Mus musculus: one gene and its partners. The protein of the gene in region 1 purifies or fractionates together with the protein of each later gene. This does not show direct contact. Links are inferred from orthologs where the notes say so. Each region holds a gene or a part of one and is shown on either strand. Other genes may lie near its edges.

Evidence for each region.
Region 2: the proteins of Kmt2c (region 1) and Ncoa6 purify together in Homo sapiens (co-immunoprecipitation; 7 studies listed by BioGRID and IntAct, with this or other methods). This does not show direct contact. The link is inferred for Mus musculus from reciprocal best matches to the Homo sapiens genes KMT2C and NCOA6.
Region 3: the proteins of Kmt2c (region 1) and Pagr1a purify together in Homo sapiens (affinity purification with mass spectrometry; 3 studies listed by BioGRID and IntAct, with this or other methods). This does not show direct contact. The link is inferred for Mus musculus from reciprocal best matches to the Homo sapiens genes KMT2C and PAGR1.

The regions. Positions count from the first base shown.
Region 1 is NC_000071.6:25,302,871-25,313,664, forward strand, and holds part of Kmt2c (histone-lysine N-methyltransferase 2C), read right to left. Parts: intron 10,679-10,794; coding exon 10,386-10,678; intron 8,550-10,385; coding exon 6,730-8,549; intron 5,681-6,729; coding exon 5,569-5,680; intron 3,118-5,568; coding exon 3,039-3,117; intron 1,872-3,038; coding exon 1,808-1,871; intron 1,250-1,807; coding exon of another isoform or gene 1,227-1,249; intron 69-1,226; coding exon 1-68. UniProt on the Homo sapiens protein: Histone methyltransferase that catalyzes methyl group transfer from S-adenosyl-L-methionine to the epsilon-amino group of 'Lys-4' of histone H3 (H3K4).
Region 2 is NC_000068.7:155,433,639-155,444,532, forward strand, and holds the start of Ncoa6 (nuclear receptor coactivator 6), read right to left. Parts: upstream 7,146-10,894; 5' UTR 7,050-7,145; intron 4,502-7,049; 5' UTR 4,457-4,501; coding exon 4,222-4,456; intron 451-4,221; coding exon 295-450; intron 1-294. UniProt on the Homo sapiens protein: Nuclear receptor coactivator that directly binds nuclear receptors and stimulates the transcriptional activities in a hormone-dependent fashion. Coactivates expression in an agonist- and AF2-dependent manner.
Region 3 is NC_000073.6:127,010,248-127,021,141, forward strand, and holds Pagr1a (PAXIP1-associated glutamate-rich protein 1A), read right to left. Parts: upstream 7,106-10,894; 5' UTR 6,675-7,105; coding exon 6,196-6,674; intron 6,036-6,195; coding exon 5,953-6,035; intron 5,223-5,952; coding exon 5,023-5,222; 3' UTR 4,804-5,022; downstream 1-4,803. Other genes in the region: Mvp (major vault protein), read right to left, coding at 4,272-4,273; Prrt2 (proline-rich transmembrane protein 2), read right to left, coding at 8,569-8,769, 9,148-10,044. UniProt on the Homo sapiens protein: Its association with the histone methyltransferase MLL2/MLL3 complex is suggesting a role in epigenetic transcriptional activation. However, in association with PAXIP1/PTIP is proposed to function at least in part independently of the MLL2/MLL3 complex.

The DNA of each region.
Region 1 (10,794 bases):
CTGCTGCATCTGAAGCAGCTGCTGAGTCTCCTGTAGCCATTCTTCATACTGCTTACGCTGAGAGTCATCTGAGGGAAGAACCAAAATTCAAGTGTGTTAATTTTTCTAGGTAGTCCAAGATTATTAAAAGTTAAGCAAATTCATTTGTAAGAAGACAATTTTATTGTGAATATTTTAAAGAAAAATTGAAAACAAAATTCTAATTATTAGAGTCCTTTATAACTATGAAGTATCAGCTTCTAGAAAATTGTATTTACTCAAGAAAGCCAGAGAATGCTCAATTAAAACACTAGTTAACTTAATGCTTGTAAGTTCTGCAACTCCAATCTTCCAAAAGAACCATCAAATTATCTAATCCATAAACCAAACTGTTTAAAAATGTTGTATTTTATTAATTCAATTGTACAGACTGAAGAGGCAAGGAAAATATATCCCAGTAACATCAAGAGCATGGATTACGTAGTCATTTGTAATCAGTCATGCTGATTTCAGTCATGCTGATTTCTCTAAGTTTACAAAGTCTTCCCTACATCTTTGTAGTGGAGGAAAAAGGAAACAGGGAGATGAAACCCAGAAAACTCTAAAAAGAAGCACTTGGAGGTCTACATTTTATAAAGAAAATATATTAAGTTTAAAACACTGGTAACTTCCATTAATTTTGTAATTTCTAAGTCTACAGGGGGAAGTGATAGCTAAGCAAGCAAAGCCTTCTCATCTGTCCTGGACGGATTATATCTTATATCTCTCCCCATTACATCTTATCGTACACTGAGATCCCGTCCTTGTTCTCCCAGAGCACATTATTCCATTGATGCCAAGTCCCCAAAAAAGGTTAGCTCAGGTAGTAAAAAATTGAGTATTCCTTTTTGACTATAAAACAAAGAAAAACACAATCCTAGAAGGACATTAGCTGAAAATAACATCAATGATAACAGAATATTGCCATACATTAAGATCCAACCAAATCCAATGGGCACAATACAGCCAGAAAAAGCCAGTTGGTCATAGTAGTTTACTTATTTTTAATACAAATGTGTATTCAAATTATGATCATAATTGATGCGGGGGAATTTCAAAAGGTTAGACTTTGGGTTTGTTCCTAAACCCAGAAGTTCCAGTATATGTATGAAGGTGCAATCTAGTGCACTAAATTTGAAGGGCTTTTGTCAAGAACAGGCTTTTTCACAAGGTTTCAGAAGTTCTGCTTCTGGTAGAATGAGACCTACCGCAAGGAAAGCCTTTCTGGTTTCTGGAACCAGGAGAGCAGAGGTGAGCAAAATGAAAGATAATGGTGAAAAAAGTTAGCTAAACAGTCTGAAGATTTCAGAAAGGTTCAGTTTGAGGGAACGTTAAATGCTATCCTGAACCACCTTGGGACCCCTAAGGACAGCTAGAAGGGTTCAGTGGCCTCTTGCACACTTGACCTTCACACCATGCTACAACCCAGCTTTTAAATATATTCCCTTTGTTTTTCCCCATTTAGTGTCCTCGTTATAGGCAGACTGTCATGAAAGCAAACATGGTTTAATGCTATATTGGGAAAGAGGTAAATCTATTTTAAAAAAACAACAATGTTGAAGAAAATAGGGAAGATGGTTTTCCTGTATTAAAGTATTTATTTCTAACTAGTTCCTCATGCACAGCGGAAAAAAGCAATGAAAACACATGCCTTGCTGTAAAGATGCCTAGGACAGTGACCTCTGATAGGAGAGGTATCATCTACACTAATTCCGAGCTTCAAAACAACACAAATATAGTCAAACAAGCAATCCCCAGAAAACAGGTAACTTATTAGATTTATACTTACTGACAAAGCCTGGACCAAAATTTGGAGGATTAGGCCTAGAAATCTGATGTGTTATACTGCCATCCTAAAATAAGTAAAATTTACAAATATGTTTAATTCCATACTTCAACTTAAGGGGGGGAAAAACTTCAAAATGAAGGAAAAAAAATGAAAAAAAAATTCATTTTATTCATAAACACATGTTCTACATTCACTAAACTATACTATATCACAAAAAGCTAATTATAACAAGAATTAATATAGTATACATATAAAAGAAAATGCACTCATTATAATGTTAGTCTTGTGTACTAATAATATGCCTTGCTTCTTTCATGGTGTTTGGATAGCTGATAATTTCACAATTTCCTGGCCAGAACCTGATAAATAGAATCTTTGATTCAAATTCCGTTAGACATGAGCTATTATGTTCAACAGCCAGAATATGGCATGTTCAGCCCTATAGTAAGTACTGCAGGGAAGCTGATGCAGCATTTGATAGAGCACAGTTAAAAAGCTCAAGAACTTGCTCAAAGTGCACACTGAATTCACAGTCAAACTGAGAACTTAGAAAACTCAGCTACAACACTTAAGCCTTTCCAGTATATCAAAGGGTGTTTATATTCTTAATAGGGAAAAAGCATAAATTATCTGTATAGTAAATATAAATGATAACTGGCAGAATATAAGATAATTCCCAAAGCACACAGATCAAGGTACCCCCCTATACCAGGCAAACATATGTTTTAAAAATCAACATAGAAAATAGCACATGAAAAGAGTTACTGTTTCCAGACTTCATAACATGAACATAGCATCAATGTTTAAACTTGAGCTCATTATAGATGCTCAATATTAAAAAAAAATCATCTCAAGGAATAATTATACCTAATAGAATGATTACAGACATTTTCCACTACTGTTTCCAATAATTATACATTTTAAATGTGATGGATTAATTCCAATTAGCAGGATATGAAATGTCTTTCGAGAGTTAGAAATGAATATAAAGCCAGAGCACTTCGCTTCCTTCCAAGTGACTTTCTATCATTAACGTGTGCAAGTCCTTTGCAGAAATTCTCGTCTTTAAATCTGTCTTTATTTTACACAGCAACAACACATCTTTATTTCACTGTGTTGCCAGAAGATCAGCTCCTATTCCTTTCTAGGAGGGGCTTCATTATGATTTGGGTTTGGTAAGACATAGTAGGTCCATGTGTCTTCCATAAACCAGTGATTCGAGCAGCATTACCTGAGCTACAGCTTGTGGCACTAGGGTCTGGCCGTCATTGTTTTGTGTTCCAGCCACTGATGGGCCCATGAAGGGGAATCTGTAAAGAAAAGCGCACAGCATCAACTGATGAGCTCAGAACAAATCACACAGGTACCTAACACTCCTCTCTTCCAGGGGAGAGAAGAGTAACACTGGAGACTTCCGACAACTGGCTTCTGGATGCTCAACAGACCTCTTCTCAGTATGCACTCAGTACCTTCCCATTACTATGGATGACCGCTCAGAATGGGTAGGCCACTATCTTCATAGGGACCAGTAAAGCTGCATAAAAAGCCAGCTAAACTATTGCAGAGCTTGGGCCCTCATAGGTTTCAGAAAAATAATTTTTATGATACGTTTACAGTGAAAAATCTAGCTTCAATACACAAACAAGGAAGTTTTTTTTCCTAGTTGCAATCTTTATTAAAAATGGATAGACTAAGCTTGTTATTTCATGAGAAGTTGATGGAAGAGGAATGCCACAAGTTCGGGACCAGCCTGAGCTACATAAGAGTTTCAAGCCAACTTGGACTATAGACTAAGACATTGGGGGTGAGAATAAGGGGTACTACTTAGCTCTTTTATAGTCTAAAACAAAAATATCTCAAATAATTCCACAATTCTTGTACGCATTTGTATATAATGATTATACCAAATTAAAAAAAAATGAAACTAGTGATTAATCTCTATAGTTAAATCCATTTGGTGAAACCTTATTAATTCTAATTAAACTAGTAACTGGTATAGAATCATTATGGCTTATTTGAAAACATGTCTGTCTTATTAAGCCACTGAATGCTTTAACATATTAAGATATACATAGGAAAAAATTTTTTAAAAAAGATATACATTGAACACAATTTCAAAATAGATCCAAAAATATTATAAAGAAGCATTTAAATGTTATTAGACTTTAGAGTGTATACTTGTGATTTTTTTTTCCCTCAGAAGTTTGATTCATTAATCTCCCTTCTCCCTACTACAGCTCTGGTACAAAATAATCCCAATCCGATTAATGCTTGCTCTCTGCCATCATCATGTAACACACTACACTAATCTCAGAAGGCACTACCTTAGTTCTGCAAAGAACTCAGAATGGTCTCCAGTACACTTAGCATGTGGCTGATAAAGCATTGCATGTCTAATGAGCACAGACACTTATGTTGAACATATATGAGATGCTGAGAGTTCTGATTCTGAGGCCCATGAAAACAATTAAGGATCAAACAAAATCTAGCATTTCCTTGACTCTGAGTATCAAGTTAAAATACAGTATTATTTATTATTTATCACAGTATTATTTATTAATACTATACTCTCACCAGTAGGAAACATGATTTTCCTACAAGTGTTGCACATTCATAGTAGGTAATTACCAATCTTTACCTTGTTATAAAATATAAAACTTAGAGCTAAGTTTGTTAATGCATTATGATACACACATATCAAGAATATAATCAGAGATTATTAACTATGTTACAAATGTGGTCTATTTCTTTTTGAATTTGTATTTTTATTACCTGTATATCTGAAAAGAATTTCAAAGGTTTCATGGTTTTAAGGTTAAAAAGGCTTATGCCATAAAGTTACCTTGAGGGAAGAACAGTGCTAATAAATCCAGCTAGGTAGTAAAAATCTTTACAAATCACTATCTTTACTTTGACATCAAAAATGTGTCTTAATCATACTCAGTGTATTACACAGTTCCCTAAAGCCTATGTCTATATCTTCAACTTATACAATTCTATATTAAATTCTACAATCATTTGCACTCCCTATTATAATTTTTCAACAAGATCATCACAATAAATTGAGATCAGAAATCAGAAACAGCAATACAACACAAAGATCATTCAAGGTACTTGTCAAAAATACAAGCATTCAGACACCATTCCTAGAAAATCCCATTCACTAGGTCTGTAGAAAGGTATAGAAACTGCATTTAAAAGTGTAGTGATGGGGGCACACAAATAATCCTTAAGTTAGAAAGTGATCAAGATTCAGCACTTCACTGGGGTACACAGCCACTGTAACTTAACGATTACTCATCTCTAATATCTCTCTTGAACACACAATTTCCATTTTTCTGTTAGATGTTAAAATTATCCAACTATCCCAGTCTCAGTATCCAAATGTTCCATAAATTACTGTTTTGCCTTTTCTAATTCAAAGTCATGTTGGGACAATTTCATTTCAGAGCTAAATTGATAATTTCCTTAACCACTGAAATTCTTGAATGAAAATCTTAGGCTAACACTTCTTTAAATAAAAAAGTAAACACACACAAACAGTTTGGATTTCCTCACTGACCAAGTCAGTCTTCCTAATGTTTGAGTGGTATATTATTCTGTTTATTTTCCCTAAAATGAAAGGAAATTAATTCCCTGCATTCAGCTGAATTGAAATACTCTTTACAACCAGAAGGTAGGCTTTTGAGGAGCTCTAAGAAGTAGGGGTGTTTTTATGTACATCTACATGCCAGGAAGAAAAAAAAAGCACTTCTACCTACCTGCTCATCACCATTGGTGGCATGCCCAGACTGTTCTGTGCCATCACTTTATTTATGCCTTTAAGGGCTACCATTTTCGCTTTCATTATAGGATCTGTAATAGCATCAAAATCTAAAGAAGAAATGTATTTTGACATTACTTACTTCATAATTTAAGTTCATGGCTCAAGATATATGAAGTGGTAAAATTAAGTATCACAATTACATAATTTATAAATTCTTATACCTTATTCAAGAATCATTATATGTTTCTACACCACATAAGGGAATCTAGAAATGGTAGCTGCATTTTAGGTGTCTATAACTGAAGCATACTTTAAAACAAGTCTGTCAGTCTACAGGGGATCACAACAGTGATGTTCAGCAACGAGAGTCCCAGTGGCTCAAACCTTCACAGTGCCAATTAGAATGATCTTTTTTAGTAATGGACTGAAAGGAATGAGAATTTACAGTTATTTCCAATACTAAAGAATCCCTCTAAATTAGTTATCAGTTTTTAAAAGAAATAAAAAACTACCAATATCTCCAGGATATACCTACAAAATAAAAGTATGAGGATAGTGAGAGCATCTCTTTGCATACATATAAGTGGGAAAAAAGAGTCAAATAATGGAATTTGTACCACATGTTGATACAATGCTTTTTGTTATTAGTTAGAAAAAAATACTCCTCAGATATATGCCTGCTGACTTAATTCTTCTAGGCAAAGCACTGAAGTGTTTGGGTTACATGGACTTGTGTTTTTATTAAAACTAATAAAACAACAAAAATAAGTTGAAAGATGTGTCTGTGGGGGATTAAAAAAAAAACCCTAAAATGCAAAAAACCTTTACCAAACACTTGTGCACAAAAGAACAAGAAACTTTATTTCTATCATAATTTCCTTACATTTATTTCTCATAACAATTGGCAGATAAAACTAAAACCACCATCAACACCATATAAAGCAGAACTGAGTGAGGTAACAATTCAAGGTTATCTTAATTTTGACTGACCTGGAAGGAATCTAAAATTCATCTTTTCATTGTAAAGACCCGAGAAGACAGAAAATTCTCAGATTACACTGATCCAAATGTAATCTCAATAATGAAAATTTACAAGCATGCTGCATGTACTCAGATGCCCCCAGTAACTTATTTTGAGACAGAAGGAATTTCCTACCAATGTTAGGGAAGAATGGTTCTGACCGCTGACGAATCATGGCTTGCATTTGTCTTTGCTGTTGCTGCTCCTGCCTCTCTTGATCCAAAAGATCTTGTAGAAGCAGAGGCTGTTCCTCTAGAAGGAGGGGCCTCTCTCTGTTCTGCTGGGCTAATGTTTGAGGAATCATGAGCTGCTGCGGTCCAGACATGGTGCTGGACTGATTCGTGAGAGGCACAGTTTGATTTGTAGGTTTCCCTGTCCCTAAATTATGGTTCACTGATGATTGGCCCTGAATGAATCCTGGATTTACTGGCACACCCTGAGAAAAAGCATGGTTTATCCTAGGGACCACTGTTACATTAGAATTCACGGTATTATCCAAAAGAGGGCTAGGTGGTACTATTAAAGTAGGAGGCAAACTTGACCCATGAGTGGATGGTGAGATGGGCAGACTTGGTGGGGAGGACCCTGAAGGCCTAATGTCTGAATCATCACACTTCTCATTAGAAAGTAAACTCGAGAGAACTGGAGTCGATCCTGTTATGTCACAGGAGTTCATCACATCCCGAGCAGGCAGAGGAGTGGACCCTTGAATGGCACTGACAACAGGCCCAGCATTCTCCTGGTTACATCTTTTCTCAAGCATATCTTGATCAGTAGTCAATAGAGCAGTCTTTCCTCTGTCACTGTGATTGGTCTGAGCAGAAGCAGCCTGTGAGCACGCAGTATCCGCATCACCTCTACTGTCATCATGGTTCTTAATCTCACTCTGTATTTCTTCTTTAGAGTAGGGAGACAGGGCTTCTGTCTTTATCTCACTGCTAACACTGGACTTTCTCTGTGGCAAATCCTTATCTTCAAGAACCATAGTTTTGTCTCCTTGATCCCTTGTTTTTGGTTCAACAGATGCACACTGATTATCTAGCTTATCATCAATTGGAACATTAAGGTCTAATTCTTCATTGAACATGCTTTTTTTATCCCCTAAGTCAAGTTCTGGATCTGTGTATGCAATGATATCAAATTCACCTGACCTTAGGAGGTCATCCAGGTTAGGGTCATTAGTTTCCAAATTGTCTAAAGTGTCCAGGTCATCACCCTTGCCATCCTCTGTGTCTAAATTTAAATTTTCTAGATCTTCATCATCCAAATCTTTGACTTCAACCCCCTCAAGATCTTTCACATCCAGTTCTTTCACAGAAGGATCATCAGAGTCTAGTTTTTCTTCCAGGCCAGCAGAAGACTGACCAGCTATCTCTAAGTTATCTGGTGATGTTTCAGCTGGGGTAGATGTTGACAAAGGTGCCTCAGAAAATTCACCACTTAAAGGATGATTTAGGGGCCTCATGACAATAGAAGATTGGTGAGCAGGATGACCTTGCTCTTGCTGAGAAGGTGGGACCTGCTCTAAATTTGGATGCACAGGTAGCTGATTGGATAGACACTGGGAAGGCTGTCTTATGGGGTCTGTGTGTCTAGGGCCAGGAAAATCAGGTCTGGGAAGGAAATTTCCATGCCTTGGATGTGAAGGTGACTCTATAACACTGCTAGGAGAAGCAGCAAATGGCAACCGTGACCTTCCATCAGGGGCTCTATGCCTCAACTCAATAAATGCCTGGCCTAGTATATTATGTTGCTGAACTGGCAGACCCTGTGGTGGGAAATGCTGAGGAAGCCCAACTGGATTATTTAATGGTGGGTTATTTGAAGGTCTAGGCATTTCCATAGACATTGGTCTTCTTATGTGTGGAGGAATTCCAGATCCTTGTATTTGCTGAGGCACATGGAAGCGATCTTGGCTTGGCATGGGACCATGGCCAGCTCCTGGAAATCCAAATCTAAAAGCCAGAAAGAACCAACAAATAATTAAGAATGATAATTTAGAATTGAGATGAGAAAAGTAAAAGAAGTATTAAGTTACTCTACAGATTATAAAAAAAAAAACTGTTAGTAAGCTCAATGATAGTGAAAATAGGAGTTGGAAGAGAAAAACATGATATCAAAATACATTATACACACGTACACACTATATATACACACACACATAAACAACACTTTATTTATTTATTTTATTATTATTATTATTATTTTTTTTTTTTTTTGGTTTTTCGAGGCAGGGTTTCTCTGTATAGCCCTGGCTGTCCTGGAGCTCACTTTGTAGACCAGGCTGGCCTCGAACTCAGAAATCCGCCTGCCTCTGCCTCCTGAGTGCCGGGATTAAAGGCGTGTGCCACCACACCCGGCTATTTTTTTTTTTAAATAGACAAAACTAAAAGTGTTTGCCCTGTAAATGATCTGAGTATGACTCTCAGAACACATAAAGGAGAGAATTTACTCTACAAAGTTGGTCTCTAGCTACCACGTGTGTTTTGTGGCTCACACACTCAAGTAGAAAATTTCGAAAGAAAATGAAAGTCAGACAGACACTGCCTGGACTTGTGGCTTAGCCACTAAGTACTTACTGAACAAGCGCAACAACTACATTTTATATACCCTGTACACATGCACACAAGCCAAGCATGATGGTGATGGCTATAATCCTAGTGGGGTGGAAAGGGAGACAACAGCATCCTTAGGATTGACTGAAAAGCTAGCCTTGCCACATCAGTGAGTTCTAAGTTGAATGAGAGATCTTATTCCCCAAAAATATAGGGTAAAAAACAATAGAAGAAGACACTCAGCATCTACCTCTTACCTTGCACATGTATATACACATCCTATACAGACACACAAATTTTTTAAAGTGCACAAAACAGCAATGGGTATAAACTACAACTAAGGTGGAATAAAAAAGGAACAGAATATAACAGACATAGGTGTAAGATTAAACTGTGTGTCCTCTAAAAAGCACACGTTAAAGATTATTCTCCTTATAAGAATAGTAAGAGTGCCTTGATCATACATGTTGGCCCACCCTACAACCCAACTGTATCAGTCTCTAAAAGGAGGCATCTTTCCAATCTGCAACTCTCTACAAACATCTTACAATTCAACTAAATTGAATAAAATGCATCATTATCATCTAACATATTATTTTAAAGAATAAAATGTATCATCATCTAACATATCATATGAAACTTCATTAGGATTTAATAGCTACATTTTGGAAGCTATGATTGGGCAGGTAAGATTATGATGTCAGAGCTAGAGAAAGTACCCAAGGAGTTAAAGGGGTCTGCAACCCTATAGGAGGATCAACAATATGAACTAACCAGTACCCCCAGAACTGTGTCTCTAGTTGCATATGTAGCAGAGGATAACCTAGTCGGCCATCAATGGGAGAAGAGGCTCTTGATTTTGTGAAGACTATATGCCCCAATAGAGGGGAATGCCGGGGCCAGGAAGCCGGAGTGGGTGGGTTGGGGAGCAGGGAGGTGGGAGGGTATAGGGGACTTTCAGGATAGCATTTGAAATGTAAATGAAGAAAATATCTAAGGCAGGCGGATTTCTGAGTTTGAGGCTAGCCTGGTCTACAAAGTGAGTTCCAGGATGGCCAGGGCTACACAGAGAAACCCTGTCTCAAAAAACAAAAAAAACAAAACAAACAAACAAAAAAACAAAAAGAAGGAAAAAAGAAGAAAAACCATAACAATTTCTTGCCAAATAGTAATGGTATTTGTCCAGTTCCTTCTTCCAATATTAACTTAAATATAGCAGAAAATTAAAAGCATTACCTGAATCCATGAGGCCTCATGCCCATACCAGCAACCTCTGGAGGATAGGGTCCACGCTGATCTTTGGGGAAAACTGCATATCTAGGTCCTAGTGGAGGGATAACAGGTGATCGAGTGCTCCCAGGATAGGGAGGTGGAGGTCGAGTGAAAGCCTGGTTGATGCTCTCTGGCTGCCAGTGTGGAAGGGGCACTGGGTGAGGTACTACTGCTGTATCCTGAGGCCCCTTCTCCTGGCGACTAGCAATCTTCTTCTGCTGTTGTTGCTGGAGAATGATTTCACGCAGTTTCTGCCGCTAAATGAAAACAAAATTGCTGGGATTTATAATTAAACATTTTTTTAAACTCTTAACATTTCCATTATGTGACTACATTCACATTTAAAATTTCAAAGTTGTTTTAAAGCTTCATT
Region 2 (10,894 bases), on another chromosome or scaffold:
GAACATGTCTGTTATCAAAGCACATCAGAGGTAGAGGGAAGATTTAGAAGTTCAAGATTGTGCTCAGCTACATAGGGTATTGGAGGCCGATGGCTACACAAAATCATTTCTCAAAAATTAAAAAACAAAACCACAAAGAACAAAAAGATCCTTACAGGTTTTTAGTAGAGATGTCATATAATGGCAAGCAGAGAAGTCTCTCCTAACTGCTAGACAAGGCAGCATCAGAAATTACGCAGGGGTACTACTGTTACTGTATTGTGGTTCAGATAGGCACATGGCAAAGTAACGAACCTTCAATCTGAACGGAGAGAATCCCCAGGTCCCGAAGCTGCTGGTTGTTGCTCTGAGCCAGGATCCGTAGCCGTTCTGCTGCTTCCCGGGGGATGTTGAATGTGACTCGCACGCTGTTCCAGGGCTCCACCTTCTGTACCTTTAGCTTGCTGGATTCTTGGTCACGAAGAAAAGAGAATAACATTATTAATTTTGAAGGCATTTGAGAATGAGCAACTGAAAAAAAAATCCCTATTTTAAATAAGAGCAGAGTTCACTGAACTACAACAGAGGGAGGAAACATACACTCTGACAAGTCAGCTTCCTTTAGGACAGAAAAGCATTTGGCATTCTGCAACTCTAAAACCTATACAAACTTCTGGACATATTCTTAAGAATGCACAAATGCTAACTTACTCTAGGGAACGTGTGTGTCCATATGCAAAGGAGTGAAGTTATACCTAATATAATGTACAAAAATTAATCGAAAATGGAACACTTAAATTTGGACCTAAAACTCTTAGAGGAAAATATCTGACAAACCTTCACTACCTTGAACTTGGCAGTAATTTCTTGGATGTGGCAGCAAAGGGACAGGCAACAAAAGAAAAAAATAGAAACAATAAACTTTTTTTTTCTCCTTGAGACATTGTTTCTCTGTGTAACCCTGGCTGTCCTGGAATTCACTCTATAGACTAGGCTGGCCTCATACTCACAGAAACCCACCTGACTCAGCCTCCTAAATGCTGGAATTAAAGGTGTGCATCACTCCTGCCTGGCCTGAAACACTGGACTTCTTAGTGATTTTGTGCATTAAAAAAACACTATCAAGCTGGGCAGTGGTGGCGCATGCCTTTAATCCCAGCACTTGGGAGGCAGAGGCAGGCAGATTTCTGAATTCGAGGCCAGCCTGGTCTACAGAGTGAGTTCCAGGACAGCCTGGGCTATACAGAGAAACCCTGTCTTGAAAAAAACAAACAAACAAACAAACAAAAACCAAACCAAACCCAACCCAACCAACCAACCAACTAAATAAACAAACAAACCTAACACACTATCAAATGACTACATACCATATCACATTAGGGTGGTCATTATAAAAGTAGAATACAGCAAATGTTGACAATGATATGGGGGAAATTGGGAACCCCTGTGCACTAATGATGGGAATACACAAAAAGTACAACTACTAAGAGAACTATATGGTGAGGAATTAAAAAAGAAAGTTATATAATGACAGTAGCCAGACATCTAGGAAAGGCTATAGCAAGCGAGTTTCCTGGAGATGGCCCACCATTTTGCATGGTTGTGATAGACCTTCTAGGAGGCACAGCCCCAGAGACTTCGCCCCAGGATTGCTTCTCACTGCTGATATGCTGGCCATTTCAGCAAAATAATGGCTGATTCCTGCCATTATTACATAGCCTAATGACTCTTGGGCATCAGTCCACTCTATTGAGCAAATTTCCTACAGACTTCAACATGAAGATGAAACATTTATGAATTAATGCTGTTTAGATGAATTAATGACTTTATAGAATTCAAATAATTTTAGGAAGAAAGTTTAAGGAGATGGTTTTAGTGTTAGAGTCAAGAATAGAATGTGCCCCTCTTCATAGAATAGTAAGTAAAGGCTGTATGATAAGCTTTCATAAATTATACTAAGAAGAGAAATAGATTTGAGAAAGATTTGTGATCAAGGAAAACATTGATTCTAGGTCAGGTCCAAAGATGAAACCACAGGTGAGCACTATGATAAAGCAAGGCTATGTGAAACTGTTGTTTTGAACTTATAATGGGCTTATAGAATGAAACACTGCTTTTGACATTCTACTGTAACTCCCCATTTGTGTAACATTTTATCTATGAGGTAATTTTATAAAGAACTTTTGTGTAAGAAGGTATAAAAAGGTGGAAAGAAGAAATAAAGTATGGCTTTTGGGGCTCTGCTCCTCCACCCAAAAAAAAAATATATATATATATACATACACACACATACATACATACATATATATAAATATATATATGTTATATATGTCTGGGCATACATATGTATGTAGGTACATGTGTATGCATGTACACTTGTGAAATGGATGAAACAGGTGGTTAGGCCCAGCCAAAGTGTGAATGTGTGCATACATGTGCGCCTGCCCCCCCCTTCTTTTTTCCCTATGAAACTGCATCAGCTTCTGGCCCCCAAGACAGTAAGAGAGAGTTAGAAGGTCAGAGGTCATCAGCCTTTGGCATTTGACTGATGCTGTTTCCCACCTCAGTAACTGAATATCAGGGCTGGTCCCCAGCAATATAATACAGCACTTGTATTTCTAAGGATACAGTCCAAAGAATTGAAAGCACAATATGGAAGAGTATATCCACATTTACAGCAGCGTTATTTATAACAGCTAAAGCACGGAAGGAATTCAAGTGCCCAGCAACAGATAAACAGTAAGACGATGTAGTATATACATACATGCTGTGGAATATTTGGCCTGAAACAGGAAGGAAATCCTAGCATGTGCTACAGCTCATGGACAAACACTGAGAATATTATGCTAAAGGAAATAAAACAGGAAATAAAGATACAGGATTTTGCTTTGATAGGGTAGGTAAAAATAAAGCAAGGGGGCTGGAGAGTTAGATAACTGGCTGCTTTTCCAGAGGATTAAGGTTTAATTCTAAGCACACAAGAGGGAAGTCACAACTGGCTGTAGTTCTAGTTCCAGAAGATATGATGCCCTCTTCTGGCCTCTATGGACATTGCATGCATGCAGGCAAAATACCCATACACATAAATCTAATTTTTTAAATTAAAAAAAAAAGTGCAATGGTGCTTATTAAGGGCTTGAATAGGTAGGGAATGAGAAGTTATTATATAATAGTTATAGATCTTAATTTTATAAGAGTTATAAAAATAGCTACTAGTAATTGTTGCATAATATTTTAATTGCATTTAAGAATCATTGAGCCATATATAAAAATCATAAAGATGGCAAACTCTACTATATGTATTTTACAATTAAAGATTTACAAAGTAAACTGAGGTAGTAGTATTGTTTGTAATTACATTTCACAGATAAGAAAGGAAATAAAAGCTATCTGGCAACTCCAAACAAAATATTTTCCCTTATGTTATAAACTCAGATCAACTAAACAGTTCATACCCTTTATTCAATTATATCTCTCTCTTTCTTTTGAGATAGAATTCCTCTGTGTAGTCTTGGCTGTTCTGGAACTCACTCTGTAAACAAGGCTGGCCTGTGCCTACCAAATGCTGGGATTAAAGGTATGTGACACTGCCCAAATTACATCTTTCAATATTAATAAAATAGCTCTATAGGAAAATGCTTTCTCAAAATCCAGATATCCATGAAGAGCGTTTCAATATGCCACCTAAGCCCATTCCAGCTCTTAAACCATTAGATACAAAATATTAACACAGAATTTATTGTTGTGATGTAAAACAAGAACAAAGCAGACCACCTGCTAAGGGTGATGGGATTAATATACTTACAAATTTTAAAAATGCTTAGACTATGTTTAGTCAAAGTGCTCTTAAAGGTAAGGAAACTGTGACCCAGAGAAAGGCTAAGCAAGCTGAGTTGAAACCTAGTGAAATCAGACAAGCTCTAAGTGTTAAGCCTGCTTTTCCATCACATTTGGAGACATGTTTCAATACACTGAAAAACTTTAGATCTTGGCTCCACAGGACAAAGACACTAAAGTTTCTTCCAATCTAATGATTACTGGAAACTTATCTGTGTTCTGCACACACATCAGATAGCTCTATACTAATTTTAATGTTAATATATTTGAAATTTATTTAATTACAATATACTTTACTAGCAACTTTTAAAACTAGGCAAGGTAGCCTAAACCTGTAATCCTAGCATCATGGTTGTAGGCAAGTAAGCATGTCAAAGCAACAAGAAGAAAGCAAAGATTAATTACCCATGTGTAACAAGTTGGGCACATTCTTTAATATTGCATCCAGTTTCCATTTGAAGTCTTTATCATCTATATTTCCTTTGAAGGCTACAAAAATTGTGGAATCCTCCAAAATACTATCACTTTTCGTGTCATCATCTTCTAGTCCAGAGTCAAACTCCACCTCTGAGTCGCCCATTGTAGATGAACACAAGGAAGTATAGATGTCTTCAAAGTTTGGAAGGTCATCCAAAACCATGGTGTATTATTCCAGAAGTATATGCAAAGTGAACAGTAAGTAAACCTTCAGAAAAAGAGAGGATGCAGAGTATTATAAACTATCATTATATAGTCAGCATATCATTTTTATTTAATATGTTATCCATACCTCTATAAAAGATGTAATTTATTTACCAGATAAAATTTCCTTTCATAATATTATTTGCTACTTTTTTTTTTGTTAAGACTAGACTATTGGGAGAAATATACAAAGTGACACAGGAAAATCAATAGATCTGAGTGTTAGCAGTGCTCACCTGCAACCCCAGCGCTTTGGAAGATCATAAGTTGAGCTCACCCCAGGCTGCAGAAGTAAGCTCTTGTCTCAAACAACAGCACCCAGAAAAATCCTTTATAAAATAACTATACTTCTCCAGCTACATTTAAGAATTTCTAATAATATTAAAAGTAAATAAATAAAACTAACAAAAAAATTTTAAGGCTAAAAAGCTGCTGCTTACTTAGCAAGAGAAAGACTGAGTTTTGAAACTGCCTAAAAACTGTAGGTATTTAGCAACCATTTCAAAGTAGGACAGAAAGAAAAATAACTTAATGATATATGTCATTAAAGTTAAACAAGAGTAAACCAAACCAAAATTAGTAGCTGGAAAGCCATGACACAGACGGGTGAGCTGACTTAGCAGGTGACTAGGACCGCTCCTAAGCTTGCCGATGAGTTTGACCCTCAAGATCCATATGACGGCAGGAGAGAATTAAACTACAAGTTGTCATCTGACTTAAACACACACCAAGCCCACTCACACAACAGTAAATAAACAGATGTTTAAACATTTTCTTCAAAAAAAAAGGGGAAGATAAAATAAATGTTAGGATAGGTGTTAATAAAATGGATTAAAAGAAAAATATAAAAGATTAACGAAACAAAGAGTTCTTTGATAAGATAACCAAATTGACCAAAATAAATAGACATGAATTAAGAAAATGAGGAGGCTGAAGATGCAGCTCAGTTGCTATAGAGCTTGCCTAACATGCACAAAGCCCTGGATTTGATCCCCACCATCACACAAATCAGGCATAGCGATACATACCTATAATTCCAGCACATGGAAGATGGAAGCAGGAGGATCTCAGAAACCCAAGATCATATCTGGCTAAAAGGGAGTTTAAGGCCAGTTTGGGATACAAAGAGGCTTGGCCTCAAAAAAGATAAGTATACATACATAATATATATTATATACATAATACATAGACTAAAAAGGAGATATTAAAGCAGTGAGATTCAAAGAGGATCTCTAAGGAATTTTTGAAAACTTCCAGTAAGTTGTTAAAACTAGAAGGAACTGGTATGTTTCTCAATACATGAATTACCAAAATTAAACCAAAAGGATATAACCTAAAAAAAAAAAATTAAAAAAAAAATAAAAATGATCACCATACAATGAGGGCTGGTGAGATGGGTTAGTGTGTAAAGGCACTTGTAGCCACGCCTTGTGAGGACAGAGAGAACCAACCACCTCTGTGTGCTGTTTGCTAACCTCTGTACCTCATGGTGGCATATGCACCTACAAGATATGCACATACAATAGAAATAAGATGTGGAGGCTGGAGAGACGGCTCAGCAGTTATGAGAACATGTTGCTCTTAGAGGATCCAATAGTTTTGTGTGGGTGCTAAGAAGTGAACTTGGCTTCTCTGCAAAAATAACAAGTATCCTAACCCCTAAGCAACTCTCCAGCCCCACTTCACCCCTGGTCATACTGATTATAGTGCTTGAACTCTTTGTTGTATGTTTGCTTGTTTTGAGACAGGATTTCTCTGTGTAGTTCTGCTGTCTTGGAACTCATTTTGTCGACTTTGCTGGCCTCAAACTCATCATAGAGATCCACCTGCCTCTGCCTCTGCCTCTGGAGTGCTGGAATTAAAGGTGTATGCAAAATATAAAATAAAATAAAAGTATGTGCTATTATATCAGCCCAGCTAGTGCCTGTAGTAAATAAAAAGCATAGAAACAAGCAAGGCAGAAGTCAAATCATTCCTACTTACAGATGTGATCACTTACTTAAAACATACTAAGAACGTCTCAAGGTAACTATTAAGAGTTAGGTAGTAAATACTTTCAAGAAAATATCAGGGATATAAAATTAACCTAGAAAACCCAGTAGCAGGGCTAGTAAAATGGTTCATCAGTGAAGTGCTCTTTGAGAGGACTGAAGCTCAGTTCCCATGTCAGGTGGCTCACAACCTTGCCTAGAACTCCAGCTATAGGGGATCTAATATCCTCTTCTAGACTCCACAGGCACCAATAAACACACATGCAAATAAAAGTAAATTGCTAGGTTCTCTATGTACTGATAATATGCTGGGAAAGAAATTAGGAACCCAGGTTCAATTCCTAGAACTTACATGGAGGTTTTCAACTGTTTGTAACCTCAGTTCCAGGGCATTTGTCACCCACCCTTTTCTGGCCTCCTTGGAAATTTCATGAATGTGTTATACAGACATACAAGAATGCAAAATATACACAGTACATATAAAACAAATTTAAAATAAAAGAAAAACCAAAAAGGTAGACTTAAAAAAAAAAAGAATTTCTTACATAAACTTTCACTTACCAAAATGTCTTAATTATCATTTATCCAGATCATCCTCTAAGTCCAAGCAAGGTGGCATCTTTAGGGCTTATAGGTCAAAGTAGCAACCAATCAGAATTCTTTTAGAGAGAGAGAGAGAGAGAGAGAAGAGGAGAGGGAGAGAGGGGGGGGGGAGGGGAGGAGAGGGGAGGAAGAGAAACAGTATTATAAAGAAATAAGATTAAAAATACGAACAATAAATAAATACATACATAAATACATAAACTCTAGAGATTGTTAAATCAGTTTTCACTAGAAAACTTATCCCACATGTAGAATGAAGAAGCAAAACTCAGGAACCCCAAGTAGCTTCATGTAAGAGCCACAGAACTGGGAATTCTGGCTTTCTTGCACCCTCCAGACTTTTACTCTTAACCTTGCCAAATTAAACAAGGAAACTACCTATAGATATTTGGAGACAAATATTTTTCTTTTTACAAGTCTTAAAAGATTTTTTTGTGGACATGGGTATTTTGCTTATATGTATATATGTGTATCACATGTGTGTTTAGTACCTATGGAGGCCAGAAGAGGGTGTCGAATGTCTTGGAACTGGAGTTACAGATGGTTGTGAGCCACCGTATCAGTGCTGAGAGGCAATCCAGGTCTTCTGGAAGTTCAGCCAGCGCTCTTAACATCTGAGCATCTGTCCAGCCCCACAGAATATTTTCTATTCACATTAATACAAAACTCACATCTTCTAACATAATTTCAAACTTATTTTTAAAATCCATAAAGTATAAATATTTTCCTTATTTATTCACAATATCTTGTAGTTTGTTTGTTAAGGAGGGCCCGACCTGCACTGAGAGGAAAGCAGGTCTGTGAGAAGAGTCGCTTTACTGTCAGGCGTTTTATTTTTTTTAAAGATTCATTTATTTATTATATGTAAGTACACTATAGCTGTCTTCAGACACTCCAGAAGAGGGCATCAGATTTCGTTACGGATGGTTGTGAGCCACCATGTGGTTGCTGGGATTTGAACTTGGAACCTTTGGAAGAGTAGTCGGTGCTCTTAACCACTGAGCCATCTCACCAGTCCCTGTTTGTTTGTTTTTTTTGAGACAAGGTGTCTCTGCATAGCTCTGGCTGTCCTGGAGCTCACTCTGTAGACCAGGCTGGCCTCAAACTCAGAAATCCGCCTGCCTCTGCCTCCTGAGTGCTGGGATTAAAGGCGTGCACCACCACGCCCAGCTCCATCTTGTAGTTTTAATTAAAATTTTAGTTTAAATTTTAAAGCATTCTTTACGGCAAACATACAAATTATACATGGGAAATTAATTTTTTTGGCACGCTTCAGAAAAAAATTACCTATCTTAATAAGACAGTATCAGACTATAACATTTTTAACTTTGGTGTTACAATTTTGTTATTGCCACATACTGGTTAAAATCTTTGAAACATCTATTTAATGTGTGCATACATACATACATGTGTAACTGTGCAAAGGTGAAAAGACAACTTGTGAGAATCAGCTTTTCACTGCCACCAGCCTGGGGACTGAACTAGGGTCTTCAGGTTTGGTGGCCAAGTGTCCCTCTCCTCAGAGAAACTATCTTATGAGCTCAATATTGATTTCTATAATCTTGAAACTTTAGATGAATATGTACTAATAAATAACAAAAACTGTTATTTAATTGCTTTTTTAATTAAAGAAAAAGGTACTTTTAAAGTTAGGCCATAAGGAAAAAACCTCAATATATCTTAAACAACAATAGAGTGAGTACTCAAATACTCTACTAACAATGAGTGAGTACTCAAATACTCTAGTCACAATGAGTGAGTACTCAAATACTCTAGTAACAATGCACTTACGTGATTATCTCAAAAGAAAACCAACAAACAGAGCTCTATCTAACAGCAATAGCAAAACCTATAGATTCAGGTTAAGAAAAAAATACCAAGCAGAAATGCAATATTTCTAGAGAACTATAAATAATACAACTATAGGAACCCAAGAATACAGGCAAATTAATGAGGAAGAAAATTAATAATCATAAAATATCTACATGAGTTATAGGGGGAAGTAAGTAAATAAATAGCTGCCTCAAAGTTAGAAAAAAATCATTAGAGTGAGCTAATGCGCTAAAAGGGAGCCAGTGACGACATCAGTAAACTAGAACTCAATTAGAAACAGAAGGACAGACATGGTGGGGCTTGCTTGCAATTAGCCTTCAGGAGGCAGAGGCAAGAAGGGCACAAATTAAAGGCCATAATCAAAAAACGGGTCAGACCCAGCGGCTCAGGTTGGTAATCTCAGCACTTGGAAGGAGGAAGCGCTTAGGACAGGAGGATCAGTAGTTCAAGGCCAGTCAGGAACAAAGAGAATCTGAGGCCTGCATTGTATGAGACAGTGTTTCAAGTTAATAAAACAGTAAAAAAAAAAAAAATCCAATAAAACAAAAGTAAACAGGTAAATTATTAAAAATATTTGAGGCAGGATGTGCCTCTTGACCTTGAATTCTTGGCAATCCTCCTGTCTCAACTTCTCATGTGCTGTGATTACAGGCATATGCTACCATGCTCAGGTCCAATACGTCAATATTGGAAGACTATTTTAAAGTTATATAACTTGTTAACTTAAGAAAGTAAAGAAGGAAAACAAGCCAGGCAGTGGTGGTACATGCCTTTTGAGGTCAGCATGGGCTACAGACTGAGTTAGGAAAGCCAGGACTACATACAAAACTATTTAAAAAAAAAAACAACCCTTTACTGCCCCCACCATGGAAAAAAAGAGAAAACAGCAAGCAACCAAAGTAACACAAAACAGAAACAAAAAAGGATTGCTGACTGTGACTATTTTGGCCAAGATTTTGTTCCTCATAGTATAAATTTTTGTTTTGTTTTATTTTTTTGAGTCAGGGTTTCTCTGTGTAGCTCTGGCTGCTCTGAAATTCACTCTAGACCAGCCTGGCCTTGAACTCAGAGATCCACTTTCATTGGCCTATTGCGATTAAAAGCACGTGCTACTGCCAAGCTACAATATAAATGTTTTGATATTCTTAGGTTGAGAGCACAGCAGGAAGGTCTTTAAGCCCAAAGATCTCCAGGGAGACCAGGAATGTTATACACACAGGATTGTCTTTCCAAGGGGAAAGACTCAAAACCTGTTTTTCCATCCAGAAAGTTGGGAATTGGAAGTGACTAAGCTGCTGGTCAGTGGTATCTGTTGGACCAGACCACAACAAGCTCCAATATAAACTCAGGAACAAAAGTAGTTAGTAATCTAAATGATCCTCACAGCTAGGGGACTCCCCAAGCTCCCACAACCCAGACAGCGATACTCAGTAGTAGGAATGACCCTTACATTATCTGTATAGCCAGAGGCTCCTCCAAGCTCCCACAACCAGGACCAGAGATGGCTTATAGCACAGATGACCTCTCTGCTGTCAGTATGACGGAGACAGGCCAGACCCTTCCTTAGGCCATTAAGCTTGTACAGGTAGCCTCCTGTCTTTAGAACCCATCTTCTCGGAAAAAATGACATGTACCCTGAATTAAGTTTCAGTGTAATTGTTCCTTGTGCACCAAGGATTGTATTACATCAGGAAAGCTATTCCAAATTATACCGTTTAAATTTGTTGGGAATACACCACACAGCAACAGACTCCCCAGAGTCTTGATCTAGGTTAATGAAGTAAATCTGAACCAATTTTTCATTCTCACTTCTTTACAGTTCATTTCCCTGCCATGACCATCTTCAGGGTCCCCTTCACCCCTAAGCACCATATACAAACTTAATGAAAAACAAAATACTTCTTTAAAGAGGACAGATGTCTAATGGCCTGAAGTTGTTCCAGAGTATACACGTATCCATAAAAACCTTT
Region 3 (10,894 bases), on another chromosome or scaffold:
TCATGTGAGTGCAGGGAGTTGAACTTCTGTAAGAGCAGGACCAGCTCTTCGTTGTCAAGCCATCTCTCCTGGACATTCTTAAAGCTGTGTATCTCTGGAGATTTGGGGTTTCTTTCATAGAGGGTAGGGTCTGAGCACTGATTAATTTTTTAAAAAGTTCTCACAATGACTCAAAGATTGAGAGCCACTGTAGTGAGAATTCTGGAATTGTGGTTTCTTTAAAAATACAGAAATATTTTAAGAAAGCACTTTTGTTTTAATCCCAGGTGTGGGGTGTGGGCTGCATCGGACCGTCCACAGCAGCTGACTATGATTTGCCTCGTGCTCTAGCAGAGGCATGGTTTTACCAGCTGCAGATAGTTTCTGCAACTGTGTGACATTTGGAATTCTGGGAACTTTTCAGAGGGTACATAAATGCTAGCACCCCAACAAGCGTGGGTGGTTGTTGGCTTCATTTGGTTGGTTTTGGTTTGTTAGTAGTCATGCTCATAAAAGAAACAAAAGTTCAATTCAGGGATCTCTCTCCTCTCTCCTTTTCTCTTATCTAGTGGTAGGGGGTGAAATGGGGTGGAGGGGAGGATAAAGGGTGGGGAAAAGAACCCACAAAGCAGCAAAGACCAGCTATAAGCCATCTGGAGGTGATGGTGACAGCACTAGCCCAGGCTAGCCTGGGTTACCCAGAGCGATGCTGGTGTGTGTGAGTGAGCTGAGTCTAGTGGTTTATGCTTATAATCCTAGCACTTAGGAAGTAGGAAGAAAACTACAACATGAAGGACTGAGATACAGAGCAAGTTTTCAGCTAGCTAAGGCTACAGAGCCAGGTAAATCTCCAAATTTAAGGCCAGCCTGGTCTAGAGTTTCGGGATTGCCAGGGCTGTACAGGGAAACCCTGCCTCAAAAACAAAACCAAACCTCAACAACCAGAAACATTAGCCTTGTCACAGTTCTGTTATTGCAACCTTGGCTCTGAATCACTCCTAGCAACCAAACTTCCTCTGCTGGACTGAAAAAGTTGCAAAGGTGTCTGTCCTAAAGCTACAGGTTTAGGGAGGGGAAGGTCCATCTCAAACAGTCCAAGCTCAACAAATCTGTTTACATCTGGAGGGCAAAGACCAAGACCTTTTCTTCTTTCTCAGGTGGGTCCAGGGTAGCTGTGAATTCACTGTGAAGCTGAAGGCCTCAAATCTCCGCCTTCAGGAGAACAAGACCATCAACTCAGTGGCTAGCCCATTCCAGCCTCCCTCCATTCCTGTGACTGCATCCCACTTTGAACAGCCCCTCTCCTGTGGGTGACAGTTCCAGTTGCTCTACTTCACCTTAAAATCATCACTGGGACCATTCCTGCACCTTCTACTTTAACCATTAACACTGTCACAGGTCTCTCTCCTGCCTTCCTGATAAAAACCCTTCCTCTCCTGCCTAGCTCCAAGTAGCTCCCTTTGTCCCCAGCTGTTCTCTTAATCCTGGGAGGACAGAGAGCGAAGGGGAAGGTGGTGACCCAGCCCAGCCACCAGATGGCTGCCTACTTTGGATTTAAGAAAAGGTCTACCTACATTCAGTATAAGCAGGGCCTGTCCTCAATGGAGTTCTTCCTTGATCCCACCTTCCACCATGTTGGCTCTGGGGCTTGAACCCAGGCCAGCAGAGGCTCAGCAGCAATCTCACTAGCCCCTCCCCCAAACAATCTTAGCCAATCGACAGCTGGAGTGGTAGCCCAGGCTGTGATACTGTATGTAACACAGGCAGGCCAGGCTAAGGGCAGGCTCTGGAAAAAAAAAAGAAAGCCTTAACCTTAACTGTGACACAGTTTGGTGGCCTCACCATGTGCCAAGTGGCTCTGCCCCTCCTCAACAGCCCCTCCCCCCCAAAATGTTACAAATGAAGAGTGTGCAGACTAGAATTAGACTGACTCAGGAGCCCTGATCTCCATTAAGGTTTTCTCTCCTAAACGAGACCTGACTGGGATTTTTCTTTTTTTTTAAACTTTTCTTTATGTAAGTAGTTAGCTGTCTTCAGACACATCAGAAGAGGACATCAGACTCCATTACACATGGTTGTGAGCCACCATGTGGTTGCTGGGAATGGAACTCAGGACCTCTGGAAGAGCAGTCAGTGCTCTTACTCACTGAGCCATCTCTCCAGCTTGTGTCAAGAAGAGTTTTATTGTGTTGTTTAGGCTGGCCTGAAACTCTGGGGATAAAACAATTGCCATGCTTCCACACCTGGCTTCTGACTAACATTGAGTCCTCGTCACACTTTTCTCAGGCCTTACTCCAGATTCACAGAATCAAGGATTCCAGGAATCGCCCACCCTACGTCCAATGCCTTCTGATGACTCATTCTAGCCTTTGAGGTCAAGACCTAGCCCAGCCATACGGCTTGGTCCTGGATGGTTGGCCAGGTTTCCCTGGCGTTCCTGGAGACAGTATGGCTTGTCAGCACCAGGTTGTCAGCCAGTCTCACTGAAGGGGACACAGAGGACCTGTTCCGGTTTGTTGCTGTCCAGGAAATGGCTTTTATTTTTCTTTTTTGTTTTTTTTCAAGACAGGGTTTCTCTGTGTAGCCCTGGCTGTCCTGGAACTCACTCTGGCCTCGAACTCAGAAATCTGCCTGCCTCTGCCTCCCAAGTGCTGGGATTAAAGGCGTGCACCACCATGCCCAGCTGAAATGGCTTTTCAAAGGCGAGCATTTTCCATACGCGGAGCCAGCGAAGTCTTGGCTACACGAGAAGAGTGTGGGATACCACAGCAGGCCTGAGCATCGAGCGCCCAGGATGGCAAAGGTGGTAGCTGTCCTGCCCAGGTGCCCCACCTCAGGGTGGGGATAGATATCCTGTGTGCCAAAGGTATATCCTGTGATGGCCAGCCTCTTTTTCATGTCCCAGGGAGCCACAGGCAGGCAGGGCAGAAGGAACAGCTTTGTCAACCACCATCTCCCACGAGAGCTGGGCAATAGTCACCAATCCCAAGTCCCCAGACCCTCAGGCCGGCTGTCCATTGAGCTTCCTCCTGTTTCTTCCCCTAAAGCTTTCCTCTCGTTCTCATTAAATCTGCACCTCCTGGAAACCAAGCTACTCTTGTGATCGTCCCGCTCACCACCGAAAAGATGGCCAAGGCCCATGGTTCGCACAGCCCTGCCCAGGGCAGCAGGAAAAAGCCTCCACGACCAGTGGAGAAGGGAATCAAGGAGGTGAAGTCACACATGCCAGTCACTCAGAGAAGGTAGAGCCCGGATCCTCTGGAGTGACGGCAGAAGGGAAAAGCCAGCAATGGAGTCTGAGTGGAAGCTGTAACTTTGCCCAGTTGGCTTCTGTTATTTGTGACAGGGTCTTACACGGTAGCTTAGGCTGTGGTGGAACTATATCTCAGGCTGGCCCCAAGCCTCTGGAGACCCTCCTGCCTCAGCTGCCCAAGTGCTGAGATTACATGTAAGTATGCTGTGCCACCGAGTCACACTCTACCCATCAGGTTGTAGAGTCCTTGTCCCAAATGCATGAAATCCTAGGTTCGAGCCCCAGCTCTGAATAAAACTGATATTCATGACAGAAATCTATAATGTTAGCACTCACTCAGGAGGTGGGGGCAAGAAGGTTAGATGTTCAAGGTCATCCTGAGCTACACAGAGAGTTCAAGACCACTTAGAAAAAATGAGGAGGACCCCCCCTTCTCTTTTTTTCGAGACAGGGTTTCTCTGTGTAGCCCTGGCTGTCCTGGAACTCACTCTGTAGACCAGGCTGGCCTCAAACTCAGAAATCCACCTGCCTCTGCCTCCGAAGTGCTGGGATTAAAGGCGTGCGCCACCACGCCCGGCTGAGGAGGACCCTTTCTCAACAACAACCACCACCCCCAAAACAAAACCTAAAGTCAACCAACCAAACAAGAGAAACAGAAATGATGGGGTCTCTCCTGCTAAGTGCAAGGCACCCTTCCTGCTTCAGGTTTCTGAGTAGGGAGTGGCACATGTGTGCTACTGGGCCTGACAAAAGTCCCCTTACCGCCCATCTCCTGTGAGGGAGACCCTATGTCAGGGACGCCTGAGGTTTTGGGGGCCGAGGACATTAACAGGGTGCTTTCGAACCCTGAAAGTCTTAGAAAGTGAAACCTCACAAGGCAGAGCTGCCCACGCCCTCCTTCCTGTAACTGCTGAGACGTCACTGCCCCAGAAGAAACGTCGCAGGAAAGCAGTCAGACTAGAGAGAGCCTGTGGGACAGACATCTACTCCCGGGTTGGAGTCTTGGGGGTCCCGCCACGGTCACAAGATCCGTACTCACATTTAGCAGGGTAGCTGGCTGCTGCAGGCCACAGGTCAGGAATTTCCCTCACCAACACTTGGGATGACTTCCCTAATGGGCTGGGCAGGCAGGGGCGGAGCTTGTGTATTTAAAGGGCCCTGCAACTGGATCTTTTGCTCCTCCAGGCTGCACTGAAGTCACCACAGCTGGGGGCAGTTTCTGAATCAGTGCTAACTGGCGGGTCTGGACCGAGACTAGGAAATCAGAGGATGCAGCAGTAAGGGTGGGGGTGGGGGATGGTGGCTGGCTGAGCCTCTGCCTCTTCTGGCTTCAATATTACAGTGTGGAGGAACACAGCTCTGCCTCTGCCCAAGTGAGAATGCGTGCTTGGGTTGAGCTGCAGTCTCTCCTCTGAGAAGATCACCCGGCATCTTTTTTTTTTTTTGGTTTTTCGAGACAGGGTTTCTGTGTAGCCCTGGCTGTCCTGGAGCTCACTCTGTAAACCAGGCTGGCCTCGAACTCAGAAATCCGCCTGCCTCTGCCTCCTGAGTGCTGGGATTAAAGGCGTGCGCCACCACGCCCAACTCATCGGGCATCTTTTATTAGATTTAGCACATCCAGCTCAAAACTGCGAACAGACACTAAACAGAACACACAGGCACTCTCCTGAGAGGCACTGCGCTGGGAGCCTGAGGCCTTCCCCATTACAAGTTCCCCAGAGCCTGGGTTGGGAAAGGCTGGCCATGCCCAGCACAAAACAGTCTGCACCTGTAGGCAGGAGCAGCACCAGTCAGTACTTCCGCTGTCTGGGAAAGAGACTGTTTCCTGAGGATCGGAGTGGAGGGCTGGTGGGGCTGGGGCCCTCTGAGTCTAAGCTGAAGAGGTCTCTCCCGGTCCGGAGGATTTGCTCCTCTAGTTTCTTATGGCGCTTCATGTCTGAGAGGACCTTATCCAGACGCGCCTCCCGTTTCTGGCTCCGGGCTGAGCTTCCTAAGATGGTAGAAAACATGACAGCATTGAGACGTGAGCCCTCCAAGTGCCCACACTTAGAGATCTTGTTAAATACTCCCTTCTTAGGCCTCAGGGGCACAGAGGAGCTAATGTTTAGGTTTGGGCCACACACAGGATGGCTGGTATTAGACTAAGATACCCATAATGCAATGGCTGGGGAACATAACCATCATGTGCAAAGGTCCTGGGGCAGGGGTAGAGGCCAGAAAACTTAAGACTCTCCGTGGACATGCTCTTCCTCTCTGGAATGGAATCCTCGGGAGTAGTACAAGCTGAGGAAAGACGGGACCTCACTTAAAAGGACTCCTCTGGTTGACAATGGTGGATCTGTACAAGCGGAGCTAATGCAACTTGCTGTTGGCTTGGCCGGCTGCGAGAGAGCTCCAGAATGATTCTAAAAGCATATTCTAGGAAGGCCCACAGGCTGGGATGTCAGGTCAGCTCTGGGCATGAACATAGTACTTCAGAGATGTGTTCAACAAACTTTGAACTTCTGGGAAGGTCTGCGGGGTCCCTGATAGGAAAGTATGGCACTGACCTAAGCCAGAACTATGCTGCTACTGTGTGAATGCTACTGTATGAATGCTCCGTCCCACTGCTGGTCAAGATGATGGCTGAAACCAGCCAAGGCCTCAGACCAGCCCACTTGTGGGCGGGGTAACTAGGGGAGGCCCTTTACCTCCCCTCAGTTCTTCCCTCTCATCCGTACCTGGTGTCCGTCTCCTGTCAATCAGTGAGTCCTTTGGTGTCATTGGCTCATCATCAAAGTCAAATTCTGTAGGCATGTGCGGCCTGAAACAGGGTGGACAGAAAGCCAAGGTTGAGAGAAGCACTCCCTAACACCCGCTGGCACACCCCAGCCCGCCGCCTCATCCTTTCCTGCTCTCCCCTCCCTCCAGGCTCCGTGCTCAGGAGAGCAGTCCCGGGAATAATGTGTAAAGCATGGCCTCACTTTTCCTCCTCCTCTTCTTTGGCCTCTGGCTCCTCGTCTGATCTCTCCTCTTCACTCTGGGCCTCTGGGGTAGGCGGCCGGCGGGGTAGGATCTCTGCTTGAAGCTCCAGAGTACCTTGGGTAGCCAGCAGTTCATAGAGCCGCTGGATCTCGGAGGGTGGGGGCATCCAGGACTGCCCATTGGCCGGCAGCTCCACCTCCTCATCGCTGCAGGGCACGCACCAGTCTTCGGCTTCTCCCTCCGCACGCTCGTCGCTCGCAGCGCTGGGAGCTTCTAGTGCCTCCTCAGGCCTGGATCCCTCACGCCCGGCCTCCTCCTGACTGCCTTTCCCCTCTTCCTCGGCCTTACTAGCCGAGACAGAGGGACCTCCAGTGTCCTCCACCGCCAGAGCTTGGAGGCCGGAAGTCACTTCCCCTTCTTCAGACAGAGGCGCTGCTGTGCTGCCTGCAATGGTTCCATGGCCCAGGGCAAGGGACATAGAGTACTAGAGAAGAAGCCCAGCAATAGAGGAGATTCTAGAGTACCAAACCAGTGCGCCTCACCCGAAAGGCTGGAGAGCCTTTCTAGGTCTAGGAAATCGCCAGTCAGTCCAACAGCTGACTGCGGCCAGAGCACCGTCCCCAGGAGGGGGCGCTCAAACCCCTGCAAGGACAGACCCCACCCCACGGACCCAGAATTCTGCCGTTCCCAGGGACCCGCAGGAAACACGCTCGGAGCTGGAAAGGGAAGGGCCTGTTTTCTCGCTTTCACATCGCCTTCTCCATCACCGGGATGGAAGTCATCTTTTTAGACCGGGCAAACCTAGTTCGCGTCTACTCAGCAGCGGTACAAACCTGGAGCTAAAACCCGCCTCCCAGGCTGCGCAGCATCTCAGTACGCAGGCGCAGAGAAATGGCGCGCGGAGGCTCCGCGGTAGTCAAAGCTACTTGGAAGAGGAAAGAGAAGACTTGCGCATGCGCAATTTGGCCCTTAGGACTCATTAACCTCGGCCCATACTAAAGATGGCCACTGCGGCAGCGCATGCGTATTCCGTTCAGTAGGGCCTGCCAGAAAGCAGTACCTTGACTCTGCAAACACAGGGACCAACTGAGGCCAGTCTCATGCATTCTCTGTTTATTAGTGTTTAAGACTCATGCAGCATTCAGCATACAAAAAGGGAGACTCAGTTTTATTTTTTGAAAAGGAATTTTAGTTTTCCCCCAACTTTTTTTTTTTTTTTTAAAAAAGAAAGGAAACAAACAAAAAACCCCGCCAACTCTGAAATGCATCGCAGCTGGCTCTCTGCCTCCTCAGAGGGCTGTCGCGTGCAACAAACCTCCCTCATCCTCTTAGAGAATAATTACAGAGCTCCCCCACCCTTCCCTTGCTCCCTGCAGCTGGGAACTTTGGTCCTGTTTTTGTTTGTTTGTTTTGTTTTGAATTCTACTGTTTACAAAGCACATAAATAGACCTTCAAACAAGAAACTCTGAGGTTAAAAAGCCCAAACGGGCAGATCAATTCAGGCTGACTCTTCAGGCGCAGCTATGCCCCTTCCTCCCCTGGATGTTCAGAATAAGGACTCTCAGAAGGTCCCCCAGGTGAGGACTCACTTGCCAGCTTTGGGACCCAATAGGCACCTTAGGGGTAGGGGTAGGGTATGGTCTGGGCCTGGGTGGTCCCCAGTAGAGAACAGTCAGAGCCCCCAGCTAGGCTCCTCTCCCCACACCATCCTTCTTCCCTCAGCCTGACCTAAGTACTGCAGTTTTTGCAGACTAAGTGTTGGCAGGAGGGTGAAGACGCTAAGGGGGAGATGAAAAGGGAGAAAGGGTCAGGGGACGTGGCAAGGGGAAAAACGGTGTTAAGGAAGGGGAGAACGGGATGGGTTAGATACCAAGACAATGAACGTTGGGAGGCCAGGGATAAGGTTCAGAGGATTCCAGAGGCAGGAAGAAGTGCAGGGAGGCTGGGAGAGATGCAGAGGTGCAGAGTACAATTTAGATGTTCAGGAAGGCTTCCAGAAGTGCAGAGAGGTTTTCAGAGTGCAGGGTTAGGGAGGTCAAGAGGCAGGAGTGGGGTGGGGGTCTGCAGGCAAAAGTGCAGGGAGAAAGGAAGCCTATGGCTGGCAGAGGAGCCTGGCAGGATGCAGGGGGAAAGAAGCTGTAAACAAGGCCGCTCAGGCTCCCTTGGTCCCTAGAGATGGGGGCCAGGGCCATGGACTGGGATTCTCCCAGGACAGGGATGGACCCAAGACAGCTCCCAACAGGAAGAAAAGTCTTGGAATGCAGGGCAGAGCCCCTCACTTATACACTGTGGGAGAGGAGAGGGAAAGACAGACAGGGAAGGAGACAGGAAGAGACAAAGGCATAGGGAGGACAGACAGGAGAGAGCAGGGTCAGGGGTTAGTAAAGCTGCCCTGGTCAACCCTCCGCGCCTCCCTTCCTGTCCCTGACCCCCACTCACCGCCTAAGTTGATGACGCAGGAGGCGATGATGATGAGGACCCCCCCAACCAGCGCCACGATGCTTAAGAGCTTGGCTACTCGGCCCAGACGTTGAGCCCCATCCACGTCCCCCTGTTGCAGGCTGTTCCGGGACTGGGGTGAGGGTGAGGGGTTTGGAGGTATCATGGCCCAGGTCAGCAGGAGCCAGCCCAGCAGGGATCAGGTGAGAGTCCAGAGGAGGAAGGTCAGCCCAATGGGGTTGAGAAAGGAAGGAGAATTGGGGACGCAGGAGGAAGAGGGTACAGGTCAGTAAGATTATATGACACATCTGTTTCCCTCCCGCTTGAAGGGGTCGGGCAGGAGTGCCTTGGAAGGTTAGGTCCTGGGGAGAGACAAGCAAAGGGCCAGCAATTGGAAAAGTGGGATCCATGCAGAGAGGTGAGGGAAGGTGTCATTACTGGGGCTCTGGGCTGACACTGGCACGAAGCTGAGAGCCACAGTACACTTGGGCCAGGGTCCCTTGGGGCTCACCATGACGGCATAAGCGAAGGCCACAATGTTGACAGGCCACATGGGGCAGAAGCAGGACAGGATGGCAAGGATGATATAGTCCCGAGGTTTCTGGGTGCCTTCGCCCCCTTCCACCCCAGGCCCTGCCAGCTGGGAGCTGGGATGACGGCTTAGGCTACCTCGAGGAGATCCTGGATGCCCACCGTGTGCCCTTCCTATTCTGTCTTCCTCAACGAGTTTCTGCAGCACACGGGGGGGAGCCCCATTGGCTGGGGGTGTTTTAGTTGAGGGTGGTGAGTGAGGTTGGGGGGCTGGGCCCTCTTCCCCGTCACCAGCCTGAAGGGGAACCACTGCTCCGTTTTCTTGTTTTTCCCCTGTACTTTCTGTCAGGACCTCTGTGGTAGGGTCCTCTTGGGTGGGGGGCTCTGCCTGAAGGGGTGGTTTAGGAGGAGGCTGGGAAGTTGGCTGAGGGTCTGACTGGGTGTTTATCTGAAAAGCAGGCTCCGAGGTTGGCTCAGGAGGGGCTGTAGACTGCGGCTCAGACCCTTCCTCTGCTGCAGTCTCTCTGTTCACATCTGGTTTGGATGCTGGCTCTTGGCGTGCCTCGCTGGGGCTGGGGCTGGGGCTGGCCTTGGAGCCTTCTTCTGGGTTTAAACTGAGGTCTGTGGCCTGGACTGTTTCTGGGGTTTCAACTGGGGTCTCTGTGGTTTCTGGTGCCAGCTCTGCCTTAGGCCCTGAGTCCACAGGGGCTGCAGTGATGCCTGGGCCCGGCTGAAGGGCCTCTGGCTGGTCTGGGATCTCTGCTACAACCTGGACAGGACCTAGTCCTTCTTCAGAATGCCTGGGACCTTCTGTCTGGGTTTTGGAACTGTCTTCCACCCCCTTCATCTCAGAGACCTGAGAGCTGCTGGCTGCCATCTTAGAGAAGCGAGATGGGAGAGGGCCCGTGGGGAAGAGGAGACAACAGTGACAGTAGCAAATCCTGGAAGAGGAGGAGACAGGCTTGGTGAGGAGGGAAGAGTGTCTCTCATCACCACAGGCTCAAGAGGGCTAGGATTCTGTTTCAAGGCTAGCCTGTACTGTCCCTAGGGAGAGGAGGAAAAGTTGGGATTTCCTTTGCTTTAAGGTGGAGAAGTATTTTAAAGTCGGCTTGGAGAGCCATGGGAAGATAAGCCCTTTTCTAAACAGAACTGCTCTTGGGTCTGTTCCTAGATCCATCCAACACACCCAACAAGACCCAGTCTCTCAGCTTCCAACTCGAAGGCGCACCAGAACATGAAAATCTGTGCATGCGTCAGGCACTCCAACAGGCAGACTGACCAGGACCCCACACAGTCTGCTCCTTCTGTACCCTTCCCTCCTCTCTGGGCACCACCTAAGAAGTGCAGGGTTTCCTACTGTGCATTTGGGCTCAAATGCCCGTCTACCTCCTTCCAGCCCCATTCTTGGGGAAGACCCAGTATCTTGTGCATACCTTCTTAGCCCTTCTTTTAGGGGTTCCCTTGTTGCTTTCAGCAGAGGCTGAGGGGGAGGGGATCTTCTCCCGATGGTACGACGCACCCAGCACCACCCTCTAGTTCGCCTGGCACCTGCATTCTCATGCCACCCAGCTGTCTGTCGTCCACACCTACCAGCAGTCTCAGTTGGTCCCAGTCTCATCCGCTGCCAGCCTCGGGACTGCTCCTGCGTCCCGCCGCCACCGCCGCTGCTGCTGCAGCAGCCGCAGACCGGGGAGGGAACAAGTCTGTGAGCAATGAAGGGAGGTGGC